4 linked regions of the Rhinolophus ferrumequinum genome follow. The protein of the gene in region 3 interacts with the protein of the main gene of each other region in a pairwise test. Links are inferred from orthologs where the notes say so. Each region holds a gene or a part of one and is shown on either strand. Other genes may lie near its edges.

Region 1 (7,700 bases), on a different chromosome or scaffold from region 3:
ATCGAGGTTGAGCTCTCAGAGGCTGATGTTCTTAGGTCAGAAGGTCAGACATTGAAGATGGGGGTTGGGAGTGGAGTTCAGGACAGAGTCAAGGTTGGACTGGGTTATCACCTCCTTCCGCTGGGGTACACGGCGCCACCAGACATGGTCACAGGAGGAGCAGGCAAACTGCCGGTCCACAGCAGGGATGAGGTCTTCCTGGGCACGTTGGAACATGCGTAGGTTGGCTTCTGTCAGAGGCAGGAGGGAGGTTGCTACTGCCTGTGAAATGAGGCGGGGTGAGCACTAGAGGGTGGTCGGCCTTCCTCCACCAACACAAACAAGTCTCAGCCCTCCTCTCCTAGCAGATGCACCCCCTCCTCCACAATGACCTCACTCTCTCCCATGGATGTCCTCCCTGTTCCACCTCCCCCATTCCCACCTGGACTCACCTGGATATCCTGGTCCTGCTTCATGTCCTCTGGTGGATCCTGGGTGGAGACACCAGGGGCAGAGGCTGGGGATTCAGCTCAGGCCTCTTTTCACCTTGTTTGTTGGCGGCCGGGCTCCTGGATGGGACCCTCCCAGCCCCATATAAGAGTAGGGTGTTCCTAACTCACAAGGAGCTGATTGGCAGCGCTCTTACTGAGACCAGGTACATGACCTCTGTTACCCTTATAACAGTCCTGAGAGGTGGGCACACCTGTTATCCCCATTACTCAGATGGGGAAACTGAGGCCCAGAGCCAGGAGAGGGCTTGCCTGAGATCAGAGCAGGCCTGGACCCCATGCTCCCTTACTGCTGGTTAAATACCACACATTTGTTGGCATTGGGATGAGTTAGTTGCCTCTTTGAGGCCATGCTGCTTTAGGCTAAGTGTTCAGTCTCTGAGTTCAGATAGATGCAGGTTCGATCCCCAACTCTCCATTACTTCTAGCTGTGGCAGTGTGGCCAAGCTACTCCCCCTGGGTCCTTAATGAAGGGCATCTCAGAGCCCAGTCTCTGACTCTGAGTGGCTCGGGTTCAAATCCCAGCTGCCACCTGCATGCTGCATAATCCTGGCCAGTGACTTCATCACTGTCTGTTTCCTCATCCATAAAACCTGGTAATAAATAATAGGACCTGTCTCATGGGGTCGCTTTGGTGATGAAATGAATCAACAGGTAAAATTCCTGGAATCCTGCAGCAAGGAAAGTGCTCAATCAATGCTAAATGCTACTCTTTATTTTTTATCATACTCTTTATAGGTATAAATGTCAATGTATAAATATAAAGAGTATGATACATACTTTATTATACTCTTTAACAACTCTATACTGGTCTTTCAGGCAGGCAAAATCCACAGTGCATCCGCCACCAAAGCCATCTAAAGGGCAAAGTGGCCATGATGTATCTGTGCTTTAAAGCATTCATTCATTCATTCATTCATTCATTCATTCATTCATTCAACAGGAGCCCCCTACCCCCTCTCTCCGGTTCCCCATCTCCTGTTCATCCCAGCCTGTCTGTATGTTCCTTTGCTCACACTATTCCCTCTTCCAAGAAGACTATTTCCGACCCCTCCATTCCCAGGGATCACTCTTTTTCAGCCTTGATCAGTTGACACCACATCCTCCAGAAAGCCTTCCCTGACCTCTAGGGCTCCTATGTGATGACTTAAATCCTGGCTAGCGTCACTAACTAGTTTCATGTCTCTCTCCCCCATTTAATACCATTAGCATGGAATGAACACCTACTGTTTGCAGGCTCCCTGGCAGGACACACAGCCCTTCTGTGAATAAGTAGATGTGGTTGGACCATGAGTTGTAGACTGGCAGTGCACTGAGTGGGGCTCACCAAGGATGGGCAGGGTTCCCTGTGTTCTCCCTCCCCAGTTACCCTGTCCTTTGAGCGTAGGGGGGCAGTTTACCTGGGCATCCAGGTCATTACTCAGTTCCTGTCCATCTTTCTGCTTTACCCCTGGTGGGGAGAGTTAAGTGTAAGTGAAGGGCCCTTGAAGGATCTTGTGGGAGTTTCAGGGTCTCCGGAGCCCCAATACAGACCATCCCCAAGAGATGATCTCAACTCCTCTTCCTACCCTCCGAACAGACCGAGCTCCCCCGCGCGGAACACCCACCAGTCCCGGGAACCCTGCCCGCTCACCGTACACGATGGAGCGGCCCACTCCGGTGTGGTCGCTGTCAAATTTCCTCATCAGAGTCCCCGCCTTCCTGTTGGAGACCTTCCCATAAAACTTCTCCCGGAGGCGCCGGACGCTCTTCTCCAGCTGGGATGGGGACAGCGAGGCTCGGAAAGGGGAAGAAGAGAGATTGCCCCTCCCTATTTCTAGGCATCCTTCTCTGGGCCTGAACTTGACCCTTGGTTTTGGCCTCCGCATCCCCCACCCCCATCCCTCCATGGTATTTCCTGGAAAAGCCAAAGTCCCCACCGGGCATTGGGGGAGGGTGCGGACTGGGGCGAGCGTCCTAGGCTCGGGAGGAGGCCGGCCAGGTAACCCCTGGCCTCTGACCCTTGACCCTGCAGCCCCTGCTTTTCGCCCAGGGGGCCGCATTTCGCTCAAGAGGAGGTGGCGGTCACTCTCCTTTCTGGGGGGGGGCAGACAAGGAGGAAGGTCTGGGCTACGGATGGAGTCCCAAGGAACTGCGAAGCCCCCTCTGCGGCCCCGGCCCTTCCCGGCGTCTCTTGAGGGCCCTGGCCCAGCCGTAGCCATCTCCTACCTCCACACCTTCTTGAGACATGGTGGCAGTCACGCAGGTCCCCGCGAGGGTCCGCACTGCGCGCTCGGAGTCCCCCTACCTGGGCGCGCCCCGCGGTCCAGCCGCGCGCAGGGCAGGGGGCGGGGCTCCGGGCCGGCTCCTCCCTTCCTTCCCGGCCCCCTCTTTCGCTTTCGATTGCAGGGAAGCGCTAGCTCCACCCTGGCTCCGCCTCTGCTCTTGTGCCCCAAACCGAGGAGGGCTCCCGGGGTCCGCACTCTGCGGCTGAGCGCGCAGACCTCCGCCAGGAGAGGCGGCGCGGCCTCTGCAGTCGGTCACATGTCCCCACGCTGCGCGGGGTCCGCGTCTTCACGTCCCTCGTGGGGGCGGGGCCGCATCGGAAGGCCGCTGCGAATCTCGGGCTCCCCCTTCGAATCTGCTACCCCCGCCGCAGCTCGCGCTCCCCTAGTTCATCGCCTTCTCTCCTCACCCAGAAATCAGGCGCTAATTAAGACCTGGGCACCTTCCTGACTCTGAGCCTCTTACCCGGCCACATCCCCTCTCTGAACCTCAGTTTACTCCTCTATAAAATGGGGGTGATAAGTGACTACATTCTGGGGGTGTGTGTACGCGTGCGCGCCAGGATTCCAGACCCCGGATAGAACGCTTAGTAGCTCTTGGCATGCAAACTAGTCGGGCCAGCTACTCGGTGCCCGTCCAAAGGGACAGGCAGTGGGGGGATGGGGGTGCTTGTTAAAAATACAGGTTCCTGGTCCGGCCGTCAGCGGTTCCAGGGAATCTGTATTGTAAATCCAAAGGTTGAGAACCCCGACGTCCACGACGATTCTAACCCACCCAGCACAGGGGGCTGGAGGGGCTCTGGCCCAGCCCGGAGATTTCAGGGATGGTTTCTTGGAGAAAGGAACGGCTCGTATAGTCCTTGGAGTTTGAGGTCTTAGCTAGATGAAGCACAGAGTGGGGAGAAGGAAGCAGCTGGTGAAAAGACCCCAGAAGCAAGAGAGTCTGACGTTTCTCAGCCTCCTCACGGCTGCCATTTCGGGCTGGGGAGTTCTTTGTGGTGGGCTCCGTGCTGTGCATTGTAGGATGTTGAGCAGCTTCCCTCCCTGTCCTCCGCCCACTGGATGCCGGTGGCACCCCACACACACCAGTTGTGACAACTGAAAATGTCTCCAGACATTGCCAGATGTCCTCTGGGGGGCAAAATTGCATTAGGATAATGACTCTAAATTGTTTTCCCAATTATGCACCTCCATCAGTCAGAATGTTGAAGCTCTACCCCCAGATGGATATTTACTTATAAATTATGTAGAAATACAGTTATACCAATGGATTCTGTAGATTATTTTATAATAATATATTATTACATATTCTTTAGCAAACAAAAAATGGAGATAAAAAATAGGTGCGCTGATGTTTTCTACTTGAACCCCAAAGCTTTGTAGGTCTAGAGACTGCTCTCTTAGCGAATGTAAACAGTTCATGGTTCTTTGTGGCTGAATGGTGGAATTTCAGACAGGGATGGGGGCCCGAAGTCTGCACAGACGACCTGGGATTTTGTCCTGAGGGAAGTGGGAAGGCCTGGGGGGCTTTCCCTTTACAGCTGCCAATTACTACTTACCCAGTGGAGGGGAAGGTCACAGCTATGTCCCATCCCCTGGCCAGGGTGGACACCGAGTGGGCAGGAAACAGGTGGGAGACTGATCCAGCTATGACAAGAATCAAGACTGCTAGATTCTTATAATAATGGCCACCATATTGAATGCTTACACTGTGCCAGGCATTGAACAAAACAAAGATCCCCAGAATGTAGAGCTGCCATTATAGTGGGGGAGACAGACAAGAAACAAATATATAATAGGACAGGAAATAATAAGTGCTAGGGTGAAATATGAACTGAGATAGGGGGATAGAGAAAGGGGGATCAGGGAAAGCAGTGGGAAGTGACATCTGAGGGGAAACCTGAAGGAGGTGGGAGAAGAGTTCCAGGCAGAATGAACAGCAAGTGCAAAGGTCCTGAGGTGGGAGCATGGGAGGACTGTTAGTAGTTGTAGTATTTCTCTATTGCTGTGTAACAAATTAGCCCCAAACTTATTATTTCATATAGTTTTTGTGGGTCAGGAATCCAGGAGTGGCTTCGCTGGGGTTTTCTGGCTCAGGGTCTATCTGTTTCTGAGGTGGCTCACTTACATGGCTGGCAGGTGGGTGTTGGCTATTTGTGAAATGCCTCAGCTCCTCCTTAGTGGAGATGTACTCCCAGCTTGGCAGCTGGCCTCCCCAGAGCAAGTGATCCAAGAGAAGGAAAGCCGGGTGGAAGTTGTATCATTTTGTGACCCAGCTTTGGAAGTCACATTGCATCACTTCTGCTGCTACCTCCTGCATGTCACTAGATCCAGCCCAGGTCAGGGACGGGGAATGAAGACTCCACCCTCTCTCTCCTCCCACTCTCCCATCTCCCGCTGGAGTCTCTCATTGGCTGCAACAGAAGGCAAGGAGGGCAAGGGAGCAGGTCTTGTTATCAGCCTCTCAGGGAATAGAGCTGGGGAGAGAAGGGTGAGAATTAATAGGGGAGGACAAACAGAAGATCAAACCGGAGTATTGAATGTTGGCATTGTACATGAACAGAAAAATAAACATTCCCAGCGATCACATGGGGCTGCTCCCTATCCACCAGCAGTTCTGTTTGAGATTTGCAGCCATCTTAGCCTGGCCAGATGTAACTTGTTTGTGCAGTGGTGTGAGCATTCCTGCATTTTATCCTTTGTCTTTATAAAAAGGTGTGGAAAGGGAGACAATGGATGTACTGATAACAGTGATAAGAAATGTAGCCTCTGACACTTTAGTATAATTGAGTCAAAGATGGAGCCCATTTGATCCATCCATTCATTAATTTGACAAACATGCATCAGGTGCCTTTTTGGCAGCAAGCATAGTGCTGGGGACCATTTCTGCCCTTCCAGAGTAATGGTTTTAATGGGAATTTTAAACTACGTATCTCATTTGATCCTCATAGCAACCTATGAAGCAGGTAGTAGTATTATAAATGGGAAAACAGTTTTTTTTCCTGACTGCAAGAATCTCCTCAAGGGGTGAGTTACTTAGGAGTTACTTAGGTGAAGAGATGCAGAGCAGAGGGAGCAGCATGTGCAAAGGCCCTGAGATAGGAAGGCGCTTGGTCCATTGAGAAAGCTAAAGGTCAGTGTGGCTGGGCTTAGTGAGAAGCAGGGAAAGTGGAAGGGGGTGAAGCTTGTGCCAAAAGCAGCAAATATATATATTTTTAATTAAACTTTATTGGGGTGACAATGGTTAGTAAAGTCACATAGGTTTCAGGTGTACAATTCTGTAATACATCATCTATATATCACATTGTGTGTTCACCACCCAGAAAAAAAAAGCAGCAAATCTTGGCTTTCAGCTGGACCCTTTGAAGCTTAAGCTGGTGACCATATGTTTAATTGTGGAGGAAGTGGACACAATTGGAGCATGTGTGTGCTTTGTGCAATCGAGTAAATTTTTCCCTCAGTTTAACCAAATGAAGAACGTTGGCAATGCCCAGAATTGGAGGTGTGGGGAAATGGGAACTCTCCAAACTGTTGGAGAGGGTGTCCCTTGGTAGAATCTTTGGAGAGGGCAATTTGGCAAAACCTTCTAAAGCATTAACAATGCTGAATTAACCATTTCTTTCATTTTGTGTATTCTGACGCTTTGACATCTGGGGCCTCGTGACCCTGGGGGCACTACTCCTCCCTGGGCACACACAAACCATTTGTGGGCATTTCTGCATGTGCATTTCCACACCACCTTTACTTCCCACATTGCTTATTTCTCTAACAATTGCATTTTTTTGGCATTGCTTTTGTAATCAGAACCAAAATATACACAGTAAAACAAATTCAATTACTTTACAAAATAATATGTATGAAACTCTGGAAATATATCTTTGACAATGACACCTAACTGGAGAGACATAATTTGGGATTTCATAATTTGTATAGTCTTCAGTGAATAGAATGTCCTTTACAACACAGAAATCTGTTGTTAGAGTTTTGCGAAATCAGTTTCAAACACATTTCCAGTAATGCATTACGTGCAAAAGTTGGGGTCCTGCTCAAATGAATTCGGTGAGTGGAGAAATCTCAGTGGCTGAAATACTCTGAGTGTGTCCAAGGCTCGCTGGGTGCCAGGCTTTCTGTGGTATGTCCTCTGGGCTTGAGGCTACAAGTCATCCCTCAGCCTTTTGGCTTAGATAACACTGTCCCGTTCTCAGATGAAGAATCTGAGTTTCAGAGAGATTAAGCAGATCATGCAGGACACCCAGCTAATAAGTGGCATAGCATAGCCTGAGCTTGAACCTAGGCCAGCTGTCCACAATGCTCCTTCAAGCCAGAACTGAGGACAAGAAGTACAGAGGTCAAGGGATGCATTTTGGAGCCAGACAGTCTGGGTTTGAGTCAGTTGCTAGCTCTTTGAGCAATTTCTTGACCTTTCTGGGCCTCAGTTTCACCATCTCTGAAATGGGAATAGAATTGTTGTGGGAGTTCCATGAGTTAATATAGATAAACCATTTAGACCTGCACTGTCTGACAGGGTAGTCACTGGCCACATATGGCATTTGAGCCCTTGAAACATCGCAGGTCCTAATCCAGATGTGCTGCCAGTGTCAGATGCACACTGGATTTGGAAGACTTATGTAAAACAACACATCAATGACTTTTTATATTCATTACATGTTGAAGTGATAATAGTTTGGATATATTGGGCTAAATAAAATTATTATAATTAATCTCACCGCTTTTGTTTTGTTTTTACCTTTTTAAGATTTAAAATTACATATGTGGCTTGCATTATATTTTTATGGGATTTTGCTGACTTAGAGGATACCAAGGAAATAGTCCAAAAAACACGTAGCTATTTTTATTACCACACCACCTTGGTTTCTGTTGCTTTTCCAAAGGCGTGGCCTGTGAGAACCAGTCCTCTGCTCCAGCCCTGGACTTGGTGGCCCTGTCT
Region 2 (5,019 bases), on a different chromosome or scaffold from region 3:
AGGCAAATGTCACTGACAGTGAGAGGTGTGAAATATGGACCTCCTAGAAATGACTACTTCTAATGGGGAACATATACAATGTTGACAGAAATTTGCTCAAATCTATCAAATTGCATTGTGCCCAAATCCAGTTTCGAAGTCATATCAATCTTTACTTAAATCTTCCAAATCCTTGAATACAAAAGTTACAGGCAAAAAAGAGAGAAAACGGTAATAATAAGAAGAATGAACAATATTTTGGGTGCCAGATTACATAAATTTATTTGATGACAATTTTCATTTTCAATTGCTCTTCAGTGGAAATCCAATAACATATATTTTATCAATAGTACAGGTAGTAGGGCTTAACTTTGAGTTACCAATCAATTTCAGAGTCTGTCAAAAGTTGGTGATGCAAGATACTGATGATTTAAGAATAAAAGAATAGTGGTAACTGGTGACAATGAAAATGATCGCTGTACTGAGTAGAGACTTTGACCTCAAAACCAATAGAATCTGGGCCCTTTACAACTTGATCAGTAGAAACTGGATCCACAGGTTGGTCTATAACACGATGACTGGCAGCTCCTGGAGGCAAAGTAGGTTGGGCGGTAGAATCCAGACCCATAGCTCGGGGAAGGGAAGCCACAGACTCCATAACCCAGGGGTCTGAAGCCACTGGAACCACAGCTCAGGGAGTAGCGGCTCCTGGATCCATAGCCCAGGGAGCAGCTGCTGCTGGACCCACAGCCCAGAGACCCTGTGTAAGTTGGTGGGCAGGGAATGCAGAGCGTGGAGGTCCTTGGGCGGTAGCAGGACGTCTGGCAGGGTCTGGACACCGCACAGGACGTCTGGCAGCTGCTGGGCCCACAGTATGTCTCCTGACAGCCACTGTAGAGAGAAGAGCCCAGCTGGCATGTGCTGGGGGAGCAGCGGTCAGTGCTGTAGACTAGGTTGCTGGGGTAGGAAGAGCCACAGGAGGAGCCTGGGTAACGCAGGTAGCCTCCAAGGGAGCGGGAGGAGAAGTTCCCAGAGCAGCAGTTGTAGGACATGTTGATGGAGATGTGAATTCAGCTGAGTTACAGGAGACGATTCTGAGTTTGAATGTCACTTCTGGGCTATGGCATTTATATACCCTCAACAATGGGTGTGGTCCACTATGAGATCACGGTTTCTATATTGGATTTGCTCTTTTGCATAAGACTAACTCAGTAATTGTCTCTGTAATTGCGGTTACATTTGAATAGTTTTCCACATATTGTATTTATGGGTGCTATAATTTTGTTTTTACAGCCAAAGCCAATGAACTGCTCCTCTGTCAAAAATGCTATGACTGTTTTATACTAATGCATATCCCATCACGACCAGGAAAGCATCAGGGCCAAGAAAGCTTTTCCTCTGGCTTATGCTACCTCCATGTGCTTCCTATGTAGCCACATCTAGTTTTGCTGGAGGATGCTTTCCTCCTAAGAGTGGGGAATGAGGTAACATCAATTATGTTCTGGTGCAATGAATCCATTTCCATCAGAATGGGAGTCTTCCTGAAAATGATCCATCTTGTCACCATTGATTCCCATTCTCCTAAATGACTTGGTGTAATTTGTCATGGCAGCAATAGAAAACTAATACACCAAGTACTGCAGCTACACAGTGTGCCCCTCACCCAATGAAAAGAGACCAAAACTAGATAAAACAGACAGATGGCGAGAAACTGAAAGACACTTTGTCATGTATTTAAAGATGAGGTGACAAAAAAGAGCTCCACTGCAACAGCCCCAGGGAAGATCAGTCTGGGCCTCTTCCCAGACAGCCAAGAGGGACACACTAGCTTGATGAGGGGAGGAAACAACTGAAAGGGGAACACCGAGAAGGCTCAGCAATTGCAGATTTTTTTACTGCACTCCTAAATTGTGGTCCATTTTATCCCAATACTTTTATAACTAAAACTTTACAAAATTAGTATATTTTATGCATTTTGATATGTTTTCCTTTTCATCATCTACATATATAACTATCCAAGGCTTCTATCACCTTATAATGTATCTAGCTTTCCACTGCACAGGCTTTGAGTGACTTTCTGGCTCCTGCAGAGAGCCAGGTACCGCTCTGCATTTTCTTGCCTAAATCTGAAGTTCCTTTTCTAGTTCTCTTTTCTTCTGCTGTATACAGACATATCTTTCTCTCCCTCTTTCCCTCTCTCCCTCTCTCCTCTCCACCTCTCTCTCTCCTTACCCACCAATTTTCTTTTCTGTTTTTTCTGGGTTTAAGTTTATTTTGTTTTGTTTTTCTTGTTTGCATTGCTATTTATTTTTTGCTTCTGCTTAACTATAGTTTCAGTTTTAAAAACGTTTGTTAGATTTACCATATTCTTAGAGCACAACCAAATGCTTTCTAAGTTCATTCACAAAATATTCAATGTTTATGCAACCAGTTAAATTATATTCTGGACTGAATGAAACGTACTCTCATGGCTGATGGAAAGAGTTTCTTACAAAGCTGTAACAAACTTACAAAAATGATGTTAAATGTATAAAATTTTCTCAATAAAATCTATAGCAATTTTAAAAGTCACTTAATGTAGACCTTCTAGAAGGAACAGAGGAAAGAAGTAAATGCACCCAATTCAAATAGGTAGTGATGAGTCCTTTATTTTCTATTCTTCAAGACCAGAATTCATTTCTCCTTGCTTTGTGCCTCAGCAAGTAGATAAACTGTCCTATTAATATAACACTGTAGATGCTATTCCTTCCCCATTGTTTTTTTCTGTTTTAAAACACAACTCTTTAAGATTATCTTGATATTGGTCAAAGGGTACAAGATTTCAGAATAAATAAATTCTAGAGATCTAATGTACAGGATGGTAACTACAGTCAAAAATACTATTAATACTATTTTGTATCCTTGAAATTTGCTAAAAGAGACTATCTTAAATGTTTTTACCACACACACACACACACACACACACACACACACACACACAAATGTAATCATGGGAAATGATTGATATGCTGTTTAGTCTCATTTTGGTAATCTTTTCACAATGTATACCTATATCAAAACATAACATTGTATAGCTTAAATATCTACAACTTTTATTTGTCATTTATCCTTCAATAACACTGGAAAAAAATGAAATAATATTGATGATAAACCTTAAGACTTAAACAGGGGACACAGATTTATTAGACAAAACTGGGGAATGTAGTGAATTTGTCTTCAATTACTTGTCTCCTTGTTTAAGGATCCTTTTCTGTAAGATCCAATCTTCTCTTCCCTTTGCCTCTAAATCTAAAAACTTTGTCTACACTAAGTTAGTATGAATTTAAGAAGAATTTGTACTCCCCAACCTGGGACTGAATTAAACTCAAAGATTATATTTTTTTTGTTGTATATAACATAGACCTCCACCATTGGGTCTTCTCCTTCTTCTTCTTCCTCTTCCTCTTCCTCTTCCTCTTCTCCTCCTCCTCCTCCTCCTCCTCCTCCTCCTCCTCTTCCTCCTCCTCCTCCTTCTTCTTCTTCTTCTTCTTCTTCTTTTTTGACTGAGTTACTTACCAACAATTAAAAATTGAGATATTTGACTTAAAACTTATCACTCTGGTTTGTACATCCAGTGGCTTCTGATTTTTAGAGTGCAGAGTGCCATCACCAGACTATAAACAAAATAGTTTTGATATTTGAGGTGTGTTTCCAACAGAAACTCATCTATAGTTGCAAGTTACAACTTTTGGCACCTACCTACTAATTACCAATTACCAATCAATTTGTCACTCACATGTTGGGCATCTTGCTTTTACTAGTCATCTAGGGTGCAGCTTAATAAACAAAAGCCAGTATTTCTTATATAAAATTTTTTTCAATCACTATATAGTATTATTAGCCAAAACACATTTTTTATTACTATACGATATAGATTAGAAGGCTTTGAATTCTGTATTCTTAAAAATACATTTGCTGGACAAAGTTATCATGGCTGCTTTTCCTAAATGTGCTGCACGCAATCCTAAGGCACATTTCTCTCTGTAATATGGTCTTGGTATTTTTCCCTAGGGATCTTTTAATTAAAATTGTATAAGGTGGAGAAACACTGAAGATTTCTCAATGAACATATTAATGAGGCACCTGATATGTATTTTTCTATAAAATGTCCAGAAACAATGGCTGAGAACACGAATTCAAATGCAAGTTGTTTACTTGACCGGTGAGCCTAATAAATCTCTGTTGGGAAGTGGGACAATGTGACGGAATGAAAGGTTGGCAACACAGGGTACATCACTAAGCTAGGTACCATGTAGAAACTGGAGCTCAGTTCTCACAGAGAATTCCCTGCACAGGAGCTCTTGTGAAGTGAAAGGTCCTTTGGCAGAGTTTTACAGATGTCCCAGAAGTGTACAGACGAATACCCAAGGGACATAGGCAGGGTGTTGACAGCTTCTACTGGGGATGGGTGTCACTTAGAAAAGCAAAGATACCATAAATATGGAAAGGAATACCATGAGATCTAGAAAGATAAAATAAACTGAGAAAAGCAGAAAGGTACGAAAGCTCCTGGTGATTTCAGGCCATACTGAAACACAGTATAACACCAGTACATGTGGTATGGAAATGGGAGACAGAATTAGAAAACCTGGACACCCACGATGGCAGCTTTGGAGTTTTCTGAATTGTGGTGTCATCTACCACCATTGAAACAACAGGAGCAGACTTGTAAACGGTCAAATGATCATCTTCGCTGCAGCCACTCACTTATTTGAATCACTCCTATGTATTATAAAAATAAATAAATCTCTCAAAGTTACAGAAATTTAGCAAGTTAACATTGCTTAAAATGTTACACCAGTCCTCTCAAGGAGACTAGAAAAGCTAGAGAAAATTAAAAAAATAAGAATCTCTCTTTGAAAACTTCAAAGAAATACGCAAGCATTCTAGAGTCATAGAGAGTCTATGCCCTATAGGGAGTCTGGCCCTATAGGGGCCAGAACTGAAGTCAAAAGAAATGAGCCTAGATCTGGACTTGCTGGTCTCTTCAAGTTATGTTGA
Region 3 (6,952 bases):
TAGGTAGGGGTGGAGGGGCAGAGACTCAGACAGGGGTATCTGTTCCCAGCAGACCCATCTGGAGACTGGGCCAGTGCCTTAGCACCGCACTGGTTCCTTTCTTCCTCCATCCTGATTAAAGTCCCCAAATGATTAATGTCCCCAAACCCGTGGGACACTTGGCCACTGCTGTTTCCGGCCAGTTGTGGGGGCTGTCCTCAACAGTGCATGGAATCTGGCCTCTTGCGTCACCCTCACTGGGTCAGCTCCTCCCCAAGGGATCAGTTAGGCCCCTCACGTGGCTCTGGTGTGTGATACCCTTGTGGTCACTGCCACCCCAAACACAAGAACTTTCCTCTTGGTGGGGGGGCACTCTCTGATTCTCCTCTATGAGGGCCCCCGTTTCTCCTTCAATTTTGCCCTCCCCGATGGAGGCCCTTGTGCAGAGTGAACAGCAGGGGGTCCAGACAAGAATGTAGGCTGTCAGTCACAGCACCCAGACTGACTGATGGGAGTGGCCTCCGTCAGTCCTGATCCCCTGGCTCCTGCTGTCCTGCTCTAGGCAGCTGACATGCCTTCCTCACCCCCACCCCCACCCCCAAGAACAACATGTTTACTCATTGTGCACTGAGGCGGCAGGCAGCAGTTGTGTAAGGAGGTGGGTGGTAATGCTGGAGGGAGAGGCAGACAGAGGCATGACATTGGAGAAAATATTTAGCTGTCTTGCTACTTCTGGATGTAGTGAGCACCCTGTCATTTGAGGACATTCAAGTGAGGATTCCAGCATTGAATGGAGTAGCGGGGTGGACCAGATGCTGGGCTGGGCCCCTCCCCACCCAGAGGTGCAGTGAGGCAGGAGGCTGGGATGCCCCCTGAAGGCCCAGGCCTACCTCACACGCAGTCCCACGCCTCCCACTGTGATTCACTCCTTCCATCCTGTCTGGGGACCATTTTTGCTTCCTTGCCTCCTCTCTTCTACCCATTTTTCTCCACCTCTGAAGTTCAAGTTCCTGCCCCATCCCCCTTTTATAGTAGTGTCTCATGTTGCCCTGAGCTGCTGCTTTTGGGGTAAGCCTGAGCAAGTAAAGAAAGGGAGTGATGGGGTCTCCAGGCCCCCCCCCCCCCCCCAGGCCTGGGGACCCAGGCCCCACCTCTTGTCTCTTGGCAGTGTCCCTGACGCAGCTAGATTAAGCCAGCAACTGAACTCTCTTGTGCTGGACCAACTGTGCTGGACCCACTAGGAAACTTGGGTACATCTAGCATAAATGGCATATACAGATGATGTCAGTGAAAGCAACCCTCCAGTGTCTAAGGCACTCCTGAGACCTGGCCACGTCCCTCCCTTCCTTCACCACCCCCAGCCCCCCATTTTCCCCAAACATCTTGGCTCAGGGAAGATGCCTGATCTCTTAGCCCTGCTCTGGGGTTCCCAGGATGGTACCCAGAAAGGTCCTACAATGAAATGTACCTGGACATAGGTGTAGGGGATCAGGACCCCCAGAGTTGGTATGGGCTAGGGCAGGGAGGTGATAGAAGAGCCAAAACAGACCCCAGGTTCTGCTCAAACCCAAACTTCTATGGTGCATACCACAGCCCTGGCCACCCCAAAGAGGCAGAGTAATGAGCAAAGGGAGAAGGCTGAGGTGGAGGGTCTGGCCTGTGTCCTGGCCCCCTTCCCCACCTCCACCCCTGCCCCGCCTCTGCCCAGCTGGTGGGCACTCCTACCCTGCTGGTGGCCCGGCTGCTGTCCCTCCTCCCCAGGGCTCTGAGCAGCCTCTCCACGGGGCCGCTGGACTTCATGGTGTCCGGCTGGCTGGGGTGCCGGCCGCGGGGCCCGAACAATGCTGGGGCCTGGCCCGGGGCTTCCTGGAAGCGGCCTGGCGGAGGCAGCCGCTTCCCCTGGGTGGAGGGTAGGCTGTCTGGCTGGTGTGAGGAGAAGCCCAGCCCTGGAAGCGGAGGGGAGTACAGGCGGGAAGGGGGCAGGTCGCTGCTCCAGGAAGTGGGGGGAGGATGTGGCGGAGGCCAGGAGATCAGATTCCCAGGATCTACCCTGCTGGGAGTGTCAGCCCAGGATCCTCTGACCCCGCAGCCCCGCTCTGGGGCTGCCCCAGGCCCCAGGAGCCACCCCATCCAGGATCTGCTGGGATCCTGAGATCCAGCCCCCGGTGGGGCGGGACAGCGTGGGGGCAGGGTGGGAACTGAGGTCTCAGGGCAGGGCTCAGGGACCAGTGGGGAACACCGTGTCCTGGCCAGGACAGCCTCCCAGTCTGAACCCGTAGGCTCTCTGGGGACTTCTAGTGGGGAGGGAGGGGAGCTGGGACTCACTACGCCAGCCAGCCCAGGACTGGGAGTGCATCCTGAGGGTCAGGGAGAATGGGACGGAGGGCCAGTGTCCTGCCTCAGTTTCACTGGTTGTGAAAGTAAGGAAAGGAAAACATGCACCTCTCCCCCCTCTCCCCATTCACACTGGAAGGCAAATTGCAGCCAGAAAACTGCTTTGCCCACAGGAGTGATCCATTCTCCTGCCACAGCCCAAGGCATTTGAGGCCCTTCTCCTGAGAGCCTGCAGCTGCTCTGCTCCTGACACATTCCCCTCCTCACTCATTCCCTGGGCTTGTTTCTGCTTGACCTCTTAGACCCCTAGCCCCTCTTTGGAGCCGGCCACTTAGGCCCTCCACCTCAGGCCCTAGGGCCGCCCTCCTCCCCCAAAGCCTGAGTACTACCTTCATGGCTCTCCTGTCTCTGCTCTCCTTCCTCAGCAGCTGTCCCAGGACCTGAGGACTGGACAGGAGGCCCCCCTCCCAACACATACTCCACCCCCCTCTATGGGCCTCCTGCCTCCCTCCTGGGAACATGGCCAACTTCCTGTCCGGGAGTCAAGGGAAGGAGGAGGTGGATTGGGGCCTTGGAAAGGGGGGTAGGAATCTTCCGAAAATTTAAGGGGTTAATGGCCTGGGGGTCCTCAGCCCCAAGCCTTGGACAGCAGCCCCTTGGACCAGCAAGAGCTGTCACTTGAAACAATGTGCAAATATTCCTCTTTCATTTGCATGGTATTTACTGAATGTCCCAGAGCTCAGGCAACTCCCCCAGCTCTGGCATCTCCCACCAGGTCCTTAGACTTCCCTCTCCCTCCCTCGTGCCCTGCCTTCTCTGGGATGAGCCATCTTATGGGAGCTCACTGAGGACACTTCCCTGGATCTGCCTGGGCTTCTCCCTTGATGGTCTAATTCTCCTAGCAGGTCAGGAAGTCTGTCCCCAGGGTACCTTGGCCAGAGGGAGGCATCTGTGTGAAAAAGCTTGGGCCCCTGGCCTGTAACTGGAGAGGGGCACTGGCTCTGCAACCCACTCCCAACCCACCAGCTCTGGCTGGGTCCCAGGACATTCCAGGCCCCTGGCCAGTGTGGGCAACTGGGCCTGGTGTCCAGTCCCCAGCCCTGCTGGGGGAGGAGGGGCACTGTGGTAGGTTGGGTGGCCTTTCTCTGTTCCTATTGCACATACCCTGACCTGGACCCCTCCAGATGCTTCTTTCTACTCCTGCTGCCTCCAGAGGGGCTGAAAGTCCCCTCACCTAGCAGTCACCCTCATCCTCTGACCCTCACTCTTCTGGGAGGCTCACTAACCCGGGTGTTGGGAGGCCAGGGAAGCATGGCTTTGAGACCCTCCCCACCCTTGGTACACCTCTGAGGGAAGATGGAGACAAGAGTGCTGATCCCTCAGCGGTGCTGGGAGGAAAACGAGCTCACTGCGGCAGGGCTGGGAAGGCATGGCCAGACCCCCAAGGACCCTCGCCCTTCTCCTGCCTGGAACATTCCAGAGCCTGTCAGCCTCTCCCCCAGGCTGGCCCCCTCACACTCCGAAGCCTTAGGTTTGTTTGGAGAAACCCCTCCACCCACACTCCCCCTTCCTGGAAATAGCTGTGGTTGGATGAGAGGCTGGGAGCCCGGCCGCCACGGAGGAGGGGTGAGGCCCAGCGAAGGAGAGAGGGAGGAAGGCGGGGTACATGGGTGTGCCCAGAGGGAGCTGGAGAATTGAGAGTAGCAGCATAAGGGGGCTGACGAGTGGGCTGGAAAGTCAAATCAGCCTCATCTGTTCCCGCTTTCTGCCTCAGTTTCCCCAGATGTGAAGTAGAAAAGGAAAATACGCAGACGCACTCCCAGGCCAGTGCCCGCGCGCGGCCGCCAGTTCCCGCCTGGCTACAGGGCCCGCATGTGGAAGAACGTGCCCCACTGTACTCGAAGAGCGGCGTCCGGTGCGGGGCGCGCGCGGGTGCGTGGCGGGAAGGAGCAGCACCGTGCCTAGGCGGCGTGTGCGCACCAGGGCGGGCGAAGGCGTGACGGCCCCAACTAGAGTGTGACCGCGGCCTGCGCCCCGCCCCCTGGGCACCTTCCCGGCAGCCAGCCGTCTCAGTTCGCCGCGGCCCGCCAGATCTCCGATCACCGACCCCAGCCCGGCGCCCGCCCGCTTCCCCTGGAGCCCCGGCGGCCCCGCGCCCCCTGGCGACCGCCCCCGGCACTGCTCCCCGGCCGTGACGCACGAGCCGCCGCCCTCCCGCTCCGCGCGGCGCGGCCACTCACCTGCGGGGGGCGCCCGGCGGGGCGGGGGCGCGGCGGGGCGGGGCAGCAGCAGGGGGAGCCCCCGAGCCAGCCCATCCTAGCCGGGCCCGCGCCGAGCGGCCGCGCGGGAGGCGCTGGAGGCGGGAGCGGGCGCCGCGCTCCTGGGCTCCCTCCCGCCCCGCCGCTCCCGCGCCGCACTCTCCTCCCTCCGGCGCTGTTCCCCTCCCTCCTGCCCCGCTCCAATCCCCACCTTCCGCCCGCTCCCGCCCCCCGCCCTCCTCCTCTCTCTTTTCTCTCCCCACCTTCTTCTGCGAACCCCGCTCATAAAGAGCTGAGAGGAAGAAGGAGCGCTGAGACGCCGAGACTCGGAGACGGAAAGAGACAGATGGGGAGAGATTTTGAGCAAGGTGGACACCAAGGACACAGGGACAGGAAAATCTCAGAGATGGGGAGTGACCCAGCGGGATACAGGCCAAAAGAGCCACACGAGCCAGACAGACTCAGAAGAAAAGGTGGACATAGGTCCAGAAGGCACTGGAAACAGAGTACAGAGAACTGCCTTGGCTTCTCTCAGCCGGGCCCCTCCACAGGAGTGTATTTGAGATTGGGCCCTGTGGGGCTAGTGCCACCTACCCATGGGGGCACTAGCTTCAGATGAAGATACTTGGTGTCACTTGTGGGTTCCAAGTCTCTGGACACTTTCCCTGGTCCTCTGCCTCATGGGAGGCTTCTCAGGTGTCACCTATTCTCCCCAAAGGACTCATACTTGAGGACCCCCCCACTCATCACCACCACCAAGCGGGTCGTCAGCCCATCCATCGCCCTGCTTTGGAGCTGGACAGTCACTCCCACTCCCTAGGAGATTTCCGTTAAAAAGTCTTCCTCACAACTCTAGTCCCAGGCTTTCCAACGAACGTGGAAGTTCATTCTGTGGTCTAAACTTATTCCCATCTTTTGCAGTGTCTGGACTTAGCACGGGAATAGAAACTTCCTGGAATTCAGCTAATGGGCCATGGGTCTGGTTTGAGTTTGTGCCACCCTGGAGGGGAAGGTAGAGGGAATGGATGTCTTTCTAGAAGTTCTGAATCTTTTCCCAATCCCAGCTTCCCCAGTGTTCTTTATCAGTGAGCACTTCCTGAAACTTTCTCCCTCCCTTCCCCTCCCCACTAGATTTTCCATGATGAAAACCGGGGGGGGGGGGGGGGGGGACGGGGGGGGGGGGGAGGTGTTTGTCTGAGGAGCCAGTGCCCAGGGCTCAATGCCCAATGCCTGCTCAAAGCAGCCAGTACCCTCAGCTCTTAAGGCCCTCCATCCTTTCTGTGCTCATCTTGCCTTTGGCAAAGGCTGGGAACTCTGCTTCTGATTATGAGGGGTGGATCCCCGATTTCAATAAGGCAGTAGGGAAAAGGCTATGAAACAGCGCATGGTGACAGTGTGGGTCCCCCCAGAGACTGGCATTTGGGAGGGGTAGATGTGGCTGGGACTGGGGAGCCTTGATCTTACTGCTCGTGTGAGTTGGTGTCCAGTAGGCAGCCTCAGAAAGTGCAGCAGTCACTGGAGTCTGGAGGAGGGGCGGGGAGGTTGGAGTGGAGCTGGGGAGGGAAGAGGTTGGGAGGAGAGGAAAGGCTGGAGTTAGGAGAGCAACAGGGATCAAAGGCTACTGGGGTAGGGGCAGGGCTGAAGGTCATTCTATGGATTTTGACAAGATTTGATTATACTATAATCAAGATGCAGGATATGAAAATTTGTTCATTTCTTTGGAGTGTATGCTACTTCTTTTAACACTTTGCCCTTCTCAGAGTTCATTATGTCTTTGGCTGGGCCCTGGGATACATGCTAAGGGGGTAGGTTCTAATCTCTCAAGGTACCAAAGGAGAGACTGGGGGAGACTCAGAGAAGAGGCACTTGATTGGATCCCAGGACAGTGGCAGCGTTAGAGCCTCACACAAGCTGGCGTTGTTGCCGCTAAAGAAGAACCCTTTTTGAGATTCCAAGGAATTGAGAGGGTCACAAGATGGGCAGCTGAACTTCCAGCTCAGACTTGATGCCTACTCTCAAGTGAGGACCAAGGCAGGAGGGACACTGAAGAGAAGTTGAGAGTGAAACATTATACAGGAGGTGGCTTGGGAGTGAAATAAAAATGAGTGGCACATGGAGCCAGCCAGGCATCCTGAGGACAGGCAGGTACAGAGAGGAAGGGGAAAGGGAGGGAAGCCAGGGTAATGTTAGTAAAGCTCAAAAAGAATCGTAGGAACACCCTCTGAGCCTCCATGCAGGTTTTCTTACCTTGACTATGCAGAGGGCAGCCCATTTTGGCACGAAAGGCTGAACCCCGTTTTTCACGGTCTGGGGTGATCCCATGCCTGTGACCGAATGCGCTGAGATTCTCGGGTTGGGGGACTATAGGAGGGCACTGAGGG
Region 4 (7,734 bases), on a different chromosome or scaffold from region 3:
TTTAAACTGTAGAAATTTTTTTCTTGTTATTTAAGTACTTACATAATATTCTTGATTTTCTTCTTGGCCTGCAAAGCCTAAAGTATTTTACTATCTGACCCTTTACAAAAAATATATATATATATATGTGGTGACTCCTGATTTCTAAAGGGATGCATAGAACTGACTTCTTTGAGATAAGTGTAAGAGGGAATCAGTGTTCTCTAGCAGAAGGATCATTCTGCTCAGAATTTTACTAATGATACTCCAGAGTACTCTGAAATCCAGGAGAAACAAGAAAATTTGCCTTTCAGCCCACAAGTAGCTAAGTGACAAGAAAGTGGACATTACATAAAAGGTAACACAGCAATTAGAAACTACATTAGAAAATGGGAAGAAGAATATGACTACACTTTAAAACACTGGAATAAAGGTCAGTGCTTTCGATAGTGGTTAACAGACCTTCTGGATATGGCAGCTAGGCCTACTTCAGAGATATTACCCTATGAACAAAATGATTATTTTAAATTGTTTGGTATGGAAAATTATAATGGGTATATGAACATTATTTTATTAGTATTGTAGTAATAAAGTAATAGCAGGAAAAAAAGAAATCATCAATAAGCTCCTTTTCTGTTTTAGGAGATAAACTTAGAAATACATGTAAAACATGGGGGAATAGGGACTGAAAAGAACTGATGAATGAGAGAAAAAATTTATTACTTAAGAGGGGAAAAGTTCAAAGAATCAGGTTAATAAATGCAGTAGAAATTGAACAGGTCAGTGAATTCTTATGGAGAGAGCATCTGAGAATGTCTGGCCTTATCAAGTCAGTGAAATAAATACTTCACATACTTCCCCATCGACACGGTCATGCCCCTTTTACCCTCAGCATCATTGCTAGAAAAGAATCTAGGGCAGGAGGAAGGGACAGACACTTGTTCCTCTCGTGTCCTCAGTAAGGCAGCAATGTAGGAAGACTGCCTGGCTTACCCATCAGCCAAAAGGTTGGACCTGACCAGAGAGGGGAGAACAAAAAGTCGGTAGTGGGTCTCAAGGTCGTGTCCTCTGTACAGAGGCAGCCGCAGGGCTAGGAAATAAGGAATCCAGACAAGTTGCTCTAAAATCCTTGTCAGTCCTTTGAATCTAGATTGTAAACTTCTCAGAAGATGAGTGTTAAGTGTAATACCACGTGGAAACCCTGGGAATGAGCAAGCTAAGGCAGAATCACAAATCTTTATATTACAGCCCTTTTTTAAAATGCTTCTTTGTTGCTTATCCATTAATTTCCATTTTATCTCTTAGCATCTAGGAACACTTTTTGGAACTATTTTTAAGCTTCTCTCAGCTGTGCTGAGGAAACATAAAGGAAAGTACTAAAAAAAATTTCTATTGTAAAAATTTCCAAACATATACAAAAGTAGAACAATATAATCCCCCCTACACACACATCATGTCACTCAGTTTCAACAATTATCAACACAAGGCCATTTTTGTTTCACTTTTATCCAGTCCACACCCTATTTCCCACTGGACTATTTTGAAGCTAAAGGAGAGGTATTTTGATCAATTTTTAAGAGGAATTTTTAAAGAGGGGAGCGTGGCATTTTGGCAGCAGAATGGTGGTGCTATCTAAAATCCAAGCTGGGGGACAAATCCAACCCCTATTTCAAGACTGATATTCCTTTCTGGTGCTAGAATCTATTTCGGAGGGCCTCAGTTTCGCTATCAGCAAAACACAGAATATGGACTAAATTATAGGCAGTTGGGTAACAGTGAAATGAGACCTTGACTTCAAGTCAAAAGATCTGGCTTAAGAGTCCATTCAGCTCTGCCTTTTGCAAATTATATAACTTATAAATTATGTAAGTAACACTTAACCTCTCTGAATTTCTATCTACAAAAGGGTACTTCATGGGACTTTGGTTGAATTAAGTAAAACAATGTATTATTTGAAGTTTTGTGAATTAAAATGCGCTATATAAATTCGGTTTTATTGAGTTCTTCAGTTAAGTAAAAGATGACTCAGATTTGAATCTACAAATTAGGAAAACAGTGATGCTATTGACAGAAAAGGAGAAGCTGAAAGGCAAAGTTTAATCCAAATGGAAGACTAAACAGAGAGGGAGACATGGGGCTAAACCTTTGATCCAAATATCTATTTAAAATACATTCATTATGTTAATAATAGGAAATAATTGCACAGTCTCCTTACCCTCAGCAAAATAAATGTTCAGTTTTCTCTAGCTTCTCCCTGTCTTTATCCACCTACATAAAAAAACCATTTATTAAGTATGTATTATGTGCTGGGCATTGTGCTAGGCAGTGGGAATACAAAAAAATAACACCACTGTCTGCCTCCAAGATGCTCAGATTAGGAGACACACTTATTATATAAACAATTATAGTAGAATCGGATAAGAATTAATTTGGGCGGTGACTACTGTTTGCACAGTAATCATAGGGTGTGGTCAGTTTTTGTTCTATTTTTAGAATATACCTGTTTCAGAGTCACCGACAGAGAGGTGACTCCTAAAGCCTTCATCATGGTCTACGAAAAGAGAAGCTGTAGAAAGGTTAAGGACTGAGCTTCTCCACAGAGGCTGGAGACAAAAGTGCCACAGGAAGAGGCTGAGAAAGTATATTTGGAGAGGTGGAAGAAATTGTTAGTGTACTAGGAGCTGGGGGCAGGGAGAAAAGTCTTTTCAAAAAGAGATTTTTAGGGCTGGCCCGGTGGCTCAGATGGGCCTAACTCCATCTCCTAACTCCAAAGGCTGCCGGTTCTTCGATTCCCACATGGGCCAGTGGGCTCTCAACCACAAGGTTGCCAGTTCAATGGTGGGCTCCGCCCCCTGCAACTAGCAACGGCAACTGGACCTGGAGCTGAGCTGCGCCCTTCACAACTAAGACTGAAAGGACAACTTGACTTGGAAAAAAAGTCCTGGAAGTACACACTGTTCCCCAATAAAGTCCTGTTCCCTTTCCCCAAAAAAATCTTTTAAAAAAGAAAAAAGAGATTTTTAGTATAAACACTTAAAGCTAGGTAGATCAATGGATTCAATGGAGATCACTAATGATCTCCAAAGACCAGTTTCAGGCAAAGTAAGGGTAGAAGCCAAACGAAGAAGGCTGAGCAAGGAGTGCTCAGTGAAGTGGGAAAATCTGGCAGTGAAAATCAGCTAGAAAATCAAATGGAGATTTTTCTCTCCACCCTCACACACCCATTTTAAGATCTGCACTTTTTTTAAGGCTATGGGTAGAAGGCCAGGGAGAGACTGAATAAAAATAATGAAAGATTCTTATATGATACTTAATATGTGCCATGCACTATTCTTAGTACTTTACATGTATTAGCCTGTTTAATAATACATGAGGCAAGGATGGAATGATTAAGTAACTGGCCAGAGGTCACTCAGCTAGTCAATTGACTGAGTCAAGATTTGAACCTCAACAGTTAGCTTCAAATTCTGTGCTATTCAAGTTGTACCTGAGGTTGCCTTTTACTTAACAGAAGAACTCAATAATACCTAATTTAGATAGTGCATATCAATTCATGAAACTTCAAATAATACATGAAAGTGTGTGGGCAATTGATGAAAACGTGCTTCTGCTGAGTCACAAAAGGCACCAGCCCATGACCCTTGAGTTTACCCTAGGATGGGCATCACCTATCACCCTATACATTCTAGGACATGTTCAACCTGAAGGAAGGGGATGTGCAAACAGCCAAAATGAAATTGCATTGAAAGAGGGATCTAAGCATGGGTTTGTACTGCGTGCATCTCCCTTTCTGGACATGCTTTCTTTTCTGTTCAATTCAGGGAGTGGTGCTACCAATAATCGGGCACCAGGAACTTCGAGGTTTTTTAATATTCACTCAACAAATATTTGAAAGCATCAACTTAGGGCCCGACATTGTGCTAGGCCCAGAGGTGAACAATTCAGACAAGATCCTCTCTCAATATTTACAATCTAGTTGGAGGGTGGGGAGAACAAAGACTAGGAGGCCAAGGCAGGAGAGGGGTGAACAAGGGGGAAGATTAACTCGGAGAAGCCAGTAGAATCCCTGGCAGGCGAGGCCTTGAGGCCACGCCCAAGAGGCTTTTGTATTTAACTTGCATCAATTCAGCGCCAGTGACCGCCAGATTACCCTAAACACTTTCTAGACCATTTAATCCTGTCAATCCAACCTTTACACCTCCCACTTGTGCCTGTCGGGTCACCGGGTCACTCTGGGTCCCTAGGCCTACAAGGCCTCCTCGGGCCAGGGTCACCTACTCCCCCTATCTAGTGTCGCCTCAGCCCCCACGATCATCTTCTTGAGCCACCTCGGCCAATCCGGGTTTATACTCCCGTCGGTCTCTCTTAGCGCGGGTCTCCTCCGCCGGCCAGGTCACCTCAGTGACACGCTACCAGGGCCGGAGGTTCGGCCAGCGCGTTACGCTTTGTTCCCAGAACAGGTTTTCGAAATGCCTCTCCCTCTCGGCTCCAGCTGTTTTCCTGCCAGTGCGGGGAGACCCGGCAGAGGCAGCGCCCCCGGCGGCGCACAGTGGCCCAGGAAGGGAGTGCCCGCCGCCGCCAACTTCCCCACCTCCTCAGCCTCCTCCCGGAACGCGGGATAGCGCGCGAGCGGCGCACGCCCCGGCCGTCTCGGCCGAGTTCCTGATTGGCTATGCCGCGCGACGTCACGGGGAGGGTCCCGGCGGCAGCTGGTAGGCGAGCCCGCGCGTGCGCAGACTGAGCGCGGTGAGCGGAGGGGGAGGTGGCCGGCGGCTTATCTCGCGTCCGCCATTTTGTTGCTGTAGCTCTTGGGAACCGGCTGGGCAAAACCGCCCTAGAGGCGCGACGCTCTTTGGACTCCGGTGTTTGGTGTGTCAGCGGGGGTTGGCGCAGATCCGTGGGAGCGCAGAGCCGACGCGTTTCAGGTCAGGAGTGACTGGAGGCACCCACGGACGCCGAGCATCCCGAGAACCCCGGGGCGGCCTCTGCTGCGGCTCGGCTTCACCCGCCCCGACCTCAGGCTCTGCCCGGCATTCCCCGAGCCGGCTCCCTCCGTGAGGCGGCCCCGGAGCAGGCGGGCGGAGGCGGAGGATGCTGCGGGCCCAGAGCCAAGAGGAAGGTGCTGGCTCGGCCCTCTAAGCGCGCCTTGAGGTGTGCCGAGAGGCCCTTCTTCGGTCCCAAAGCCGTCTGGCGGGCAAAGGCGTCCAGAGCGGGCAAGAGCAGCCGCCGCCCCAGAGCGCCTGCCCGACACCATGTCCTCCGCCAGGTTCGACTCATCAGACCGTTCCGCCTGGTACATGGGGCCGGTGTCTCGCCAGGAGGCGCAGACCCGGCTCCAGGGCCAGCGCCATGGCATGTTCCTAGTCCGCGACTCCTCCACCTGCCCGGGGGACTATGTGCTGTCGGTGTCCGAGAACTCGCGGGTCTCCCACTACATCATCAACTCGTTGCCCAACCGCCGTTTTAAGATCGGGGACCAGGAGTTTGATCACTTGCCGGCCCTACTGGAGTTCTACAAGATCCATTACCTGGACACCACCACGCTTATCGAGCCCGCGCCCAGGTACGCGAGCGCCCGCAGCCGGGCGCGCTACGCACCCCGACCCCCGAGGAAGGTCGACAGTGGCTGGGTTGGTTCGCTTGGGGTCCATCCAAGAGTGTGTGTGGGGGGGGGGCGGGGAGAGGGGTCATTGAACTCATTTCCCCCTATTCTGAACCAAATTACTTTCCAGAAGCCTTTCGGAAGGGAAGGCTAGTGCCAGGATCTGGGTCACTGTGGATGAAGGGGATGTGTCTTAAACAGATTTAACGGCGGTTGCATAGATAAAATGTACGCGTTTTGCTTTTCATCACATTCTTTATTTGGTTATCATGCTAAAGGAGGGTTTTTGTTGTTTTGGGATTTTTTTATTTAAACCTTTTTTGGATCACAGACTTCTTTGAGAATATTAATATCGCCGTGGCATTCTCCCTCCCCCCAAAAATGCACGTACACACAAGTTTGCACGCCATTCAAGGGTCTTGGACTCCCTGCAGATCTCTGAACTCCAGGTTAAGAACTCTTGGACTGCAGCCTTTGGAACGATCGACAAATGACAATGCTTTAGCGTTTAGGAACAAAAACCTTTAAATGTGAAGTAGTATCAGAACTGTATGTCGATACCTTGGTGCCAGGTTTGAAATAAGCCAGACACATTCTATTTTATCATACATCAGTTACAAAAAAATCTTAAAAGAAGGTGCATTGGCTTCAGTGAGGGCATTTTATTTATTTATTTTATTTTACAGTTTTCCCCCAAGCTGGACCGTTAATAGGCTAAAAATCCACTTGGTTTAATTTCAAGGAGGAATAAGGCTAGAATATTTGCTTACTAAGGGAAATTTTTAAAAGACACTTTAATTCTATCGTAGTTCAGTTTTAGATTTTTTTTGTATTAAGTCTAATGATTTAATACCTTTTAAAGTTAACAACCCTAAGTGACACTGAGCATCAAGCATCCCCTTTTGTAAATAAAATGCATTCTTTTATTTGATTATTTGCTTTAATTTGTCTTAGTCAGTATTTTATCAGATGTTTCTTTCATGCCAGATTTGAGCTGAAATTATGCCAAATTTGAGCTGAAGAAATTGCCTAGAATTTTAAAAATAAAAGGTATTTCACTGTCCAATTTGTTTCTTAAACATCTATTTTAAAAATACAGGAGATTTTGGGGGATGAGATGTTTCTGATTTTATGAATTTGCTGACGAGATTACTCCGAGCTTGAATCATTATAAGGTATTATAATTCATTAAGGAGCACCCTAAGTGTTGGCTTCTGTGGAGTAGAGATAGAGAAAAAAACAAAGCCATGACAGTATAATGACTATGAGATTAACTGCTGAAGTAAATGGACTTTAAAAACTGGGACAAAGTGATTATAAATCAAATACTGTGTAACAAAGACCTAGACACCAAGAATCTGGTGAAACTCCAGGTCCCCGAAGATGCTGGTAATTGGACTCACTTTGAGCACGATATAATTACAATGTAAGGGATAGAATCTTAGAATCCATGGTAGTGAGATTTTGTAATGTGTTTACGTAAATGATTTTCCTAACTTGGGAAGGTGAATCATATCATGAATTTCAGGCATTTATTAAGCCGTGCTATGGGCAAGGCATTGTGCTTTCTTGAGGTGACAGGTACTATATACTATAGCTGTTTCAAAAAGTGTAAGTAAATGGCTTGATAGGCCTCAGTCGCTTCCCACTACCCCCAACAACGACTCCAAATCTTCCATACACTGTGCCTTCGGAGATGTGATCGATGCCTGTCCTCTCCTCCCACCTTGACCGCCGCCCCGCTAGGCCGCTCGCTCATTCCCGGAACCTTTGCGCAGGCTGTTGGCTCTTCAGTGACTGCCTACCCACCCACTCCTCACTTACTGTATTGAAATCCTACCTGTTGTTCCAGGCACCTCTCAAATAATAGGACCTTTCCCTGACCCTCCCCCTCACATTCAGCTTTGATTAGTTCTCCTTCTCTGTGCCCTCCGCCCCAGGCGTGTTGCTGTAATTTAGTTTTTCATTTTCCCTGGTATCTCGGAGGGCCTTCACAATGCTGGCTGAATTAGATCCTGACTGGAATGACTTTGTTATACTGAATCTTTGCCTCTCCCCAGCCTGAAATTCACGGATTTGGTTTGATGTGTTATTAGCCTTTGTAGAAATCTAGAGGCTGGTAAAACCTTGGCCAGATGCAAAAGTCAGTGTAA

The links.
Region 1: the proteins of TNS2 (region 3) and SHFL interact in binary tests that used the Homo sapiens proteins (3 or more experiments, as listed by UniProt). The link is inferred for Rhinolophus ferrumequinum from reciprocal best matches to the Homo sapiens genes TNS2 and SHFL.
Region 2: the proteins of TNS2 (region 3) and keratin-associated protein 13-1-like interact in a two-hybrid assay, tested with the Homo sapiens proteins (2 studies listed by BioGRID). The two-hybrid records come from large-scale screens. The link is inferred for Rhinolophus ferrumequinum from reciprocal best matches to the Homo sapiens genes TNS2 and KRTAP13-1.
Region 4: the proteins of TNS2 (region 3) and CRKL interact in a two-hybrid assay, tested with the Homo sapiens proteins (2 studies listed by BioGRID and IntAct). The link is inferred for Rhinolophus ferrumequinum from reciprocal best matches to the Homo sapiens genes TNS2 and CRKL.

The regions. Positions count from the first base shown.
Region 1 is NC_046301.1:40,069,042-40,076,741, forward strand, and holds the start of SHFL (shiftless antiviral inhibitor of ribosomal frameshifting protein), read right to left. Parts: upstream 3,023-7,700; 5' UTR 2,718-3,022; coding exon 2,697-2,717; intron 2,246-2,696; coding exon 2,122-2,245; intron 1,939-2,121; coding exon 1,889-1,938; intron 471-1,888; coding exon 432-470; intron 262-431; coding exon 112-261; intron 1-111.
Region 2 is NC_046285.1:96,957,957-96,962,975, reverse strand, and holds keratin-associated protein 13-1-like, read right to left. Parts: upstream 1,127-5,019; 5' UTR 1,032-1,126; coding exon 516-1,031; downstream 1-515. UniProt on the Homo sapiens protein: In the hair cortex, hair keratin intermediate filaments are embedded in an interfilamentous matrix, consisting of hair keratin-associated proteins (KRTAP), which are essential for the formation of a rigid and resistant hair shaft through their extensive disulfide bond cross-linking with abundant cysteine residues of hair keratins.
Region 3 is NC_046293.1:53,008,417-53,015,368, reverse strand, and holds the start of TNS2 (tensin-2), read right to left. Parts: upstream 3,001-6,952; 5' UTR 2,835-3,000; coding exon 2,703-2,834; intron 2,090-2,702; exon of another isoform or gene 1,780-2,089; coding exon of another isoform or gene 1,705-1,779; intron 1-1,704. UniProt on the Homo sapiens protein: Tyrosine-protein phosphatase which regulates cell motility, proliferation and muscle-response to insulin. Phosphatase activity is mediated by binding to phosphatidylinositol-3,4,5-triphosphate (PtdIns(3,4,5)P3) via the SH2 domain.
Region 4 is NC_046308.1:23,324,866-23,332,599, forward strand, and holds the start of CRKL (crk-like protein), read left to right. Parts: upstream 1-4,731; 5' UTR 4,732-5,231; coding exon 5,232-5,542; intron 5,543-7,734. UniProt on the Homo sapiens protein: May mediate the transduction of intracellular signals.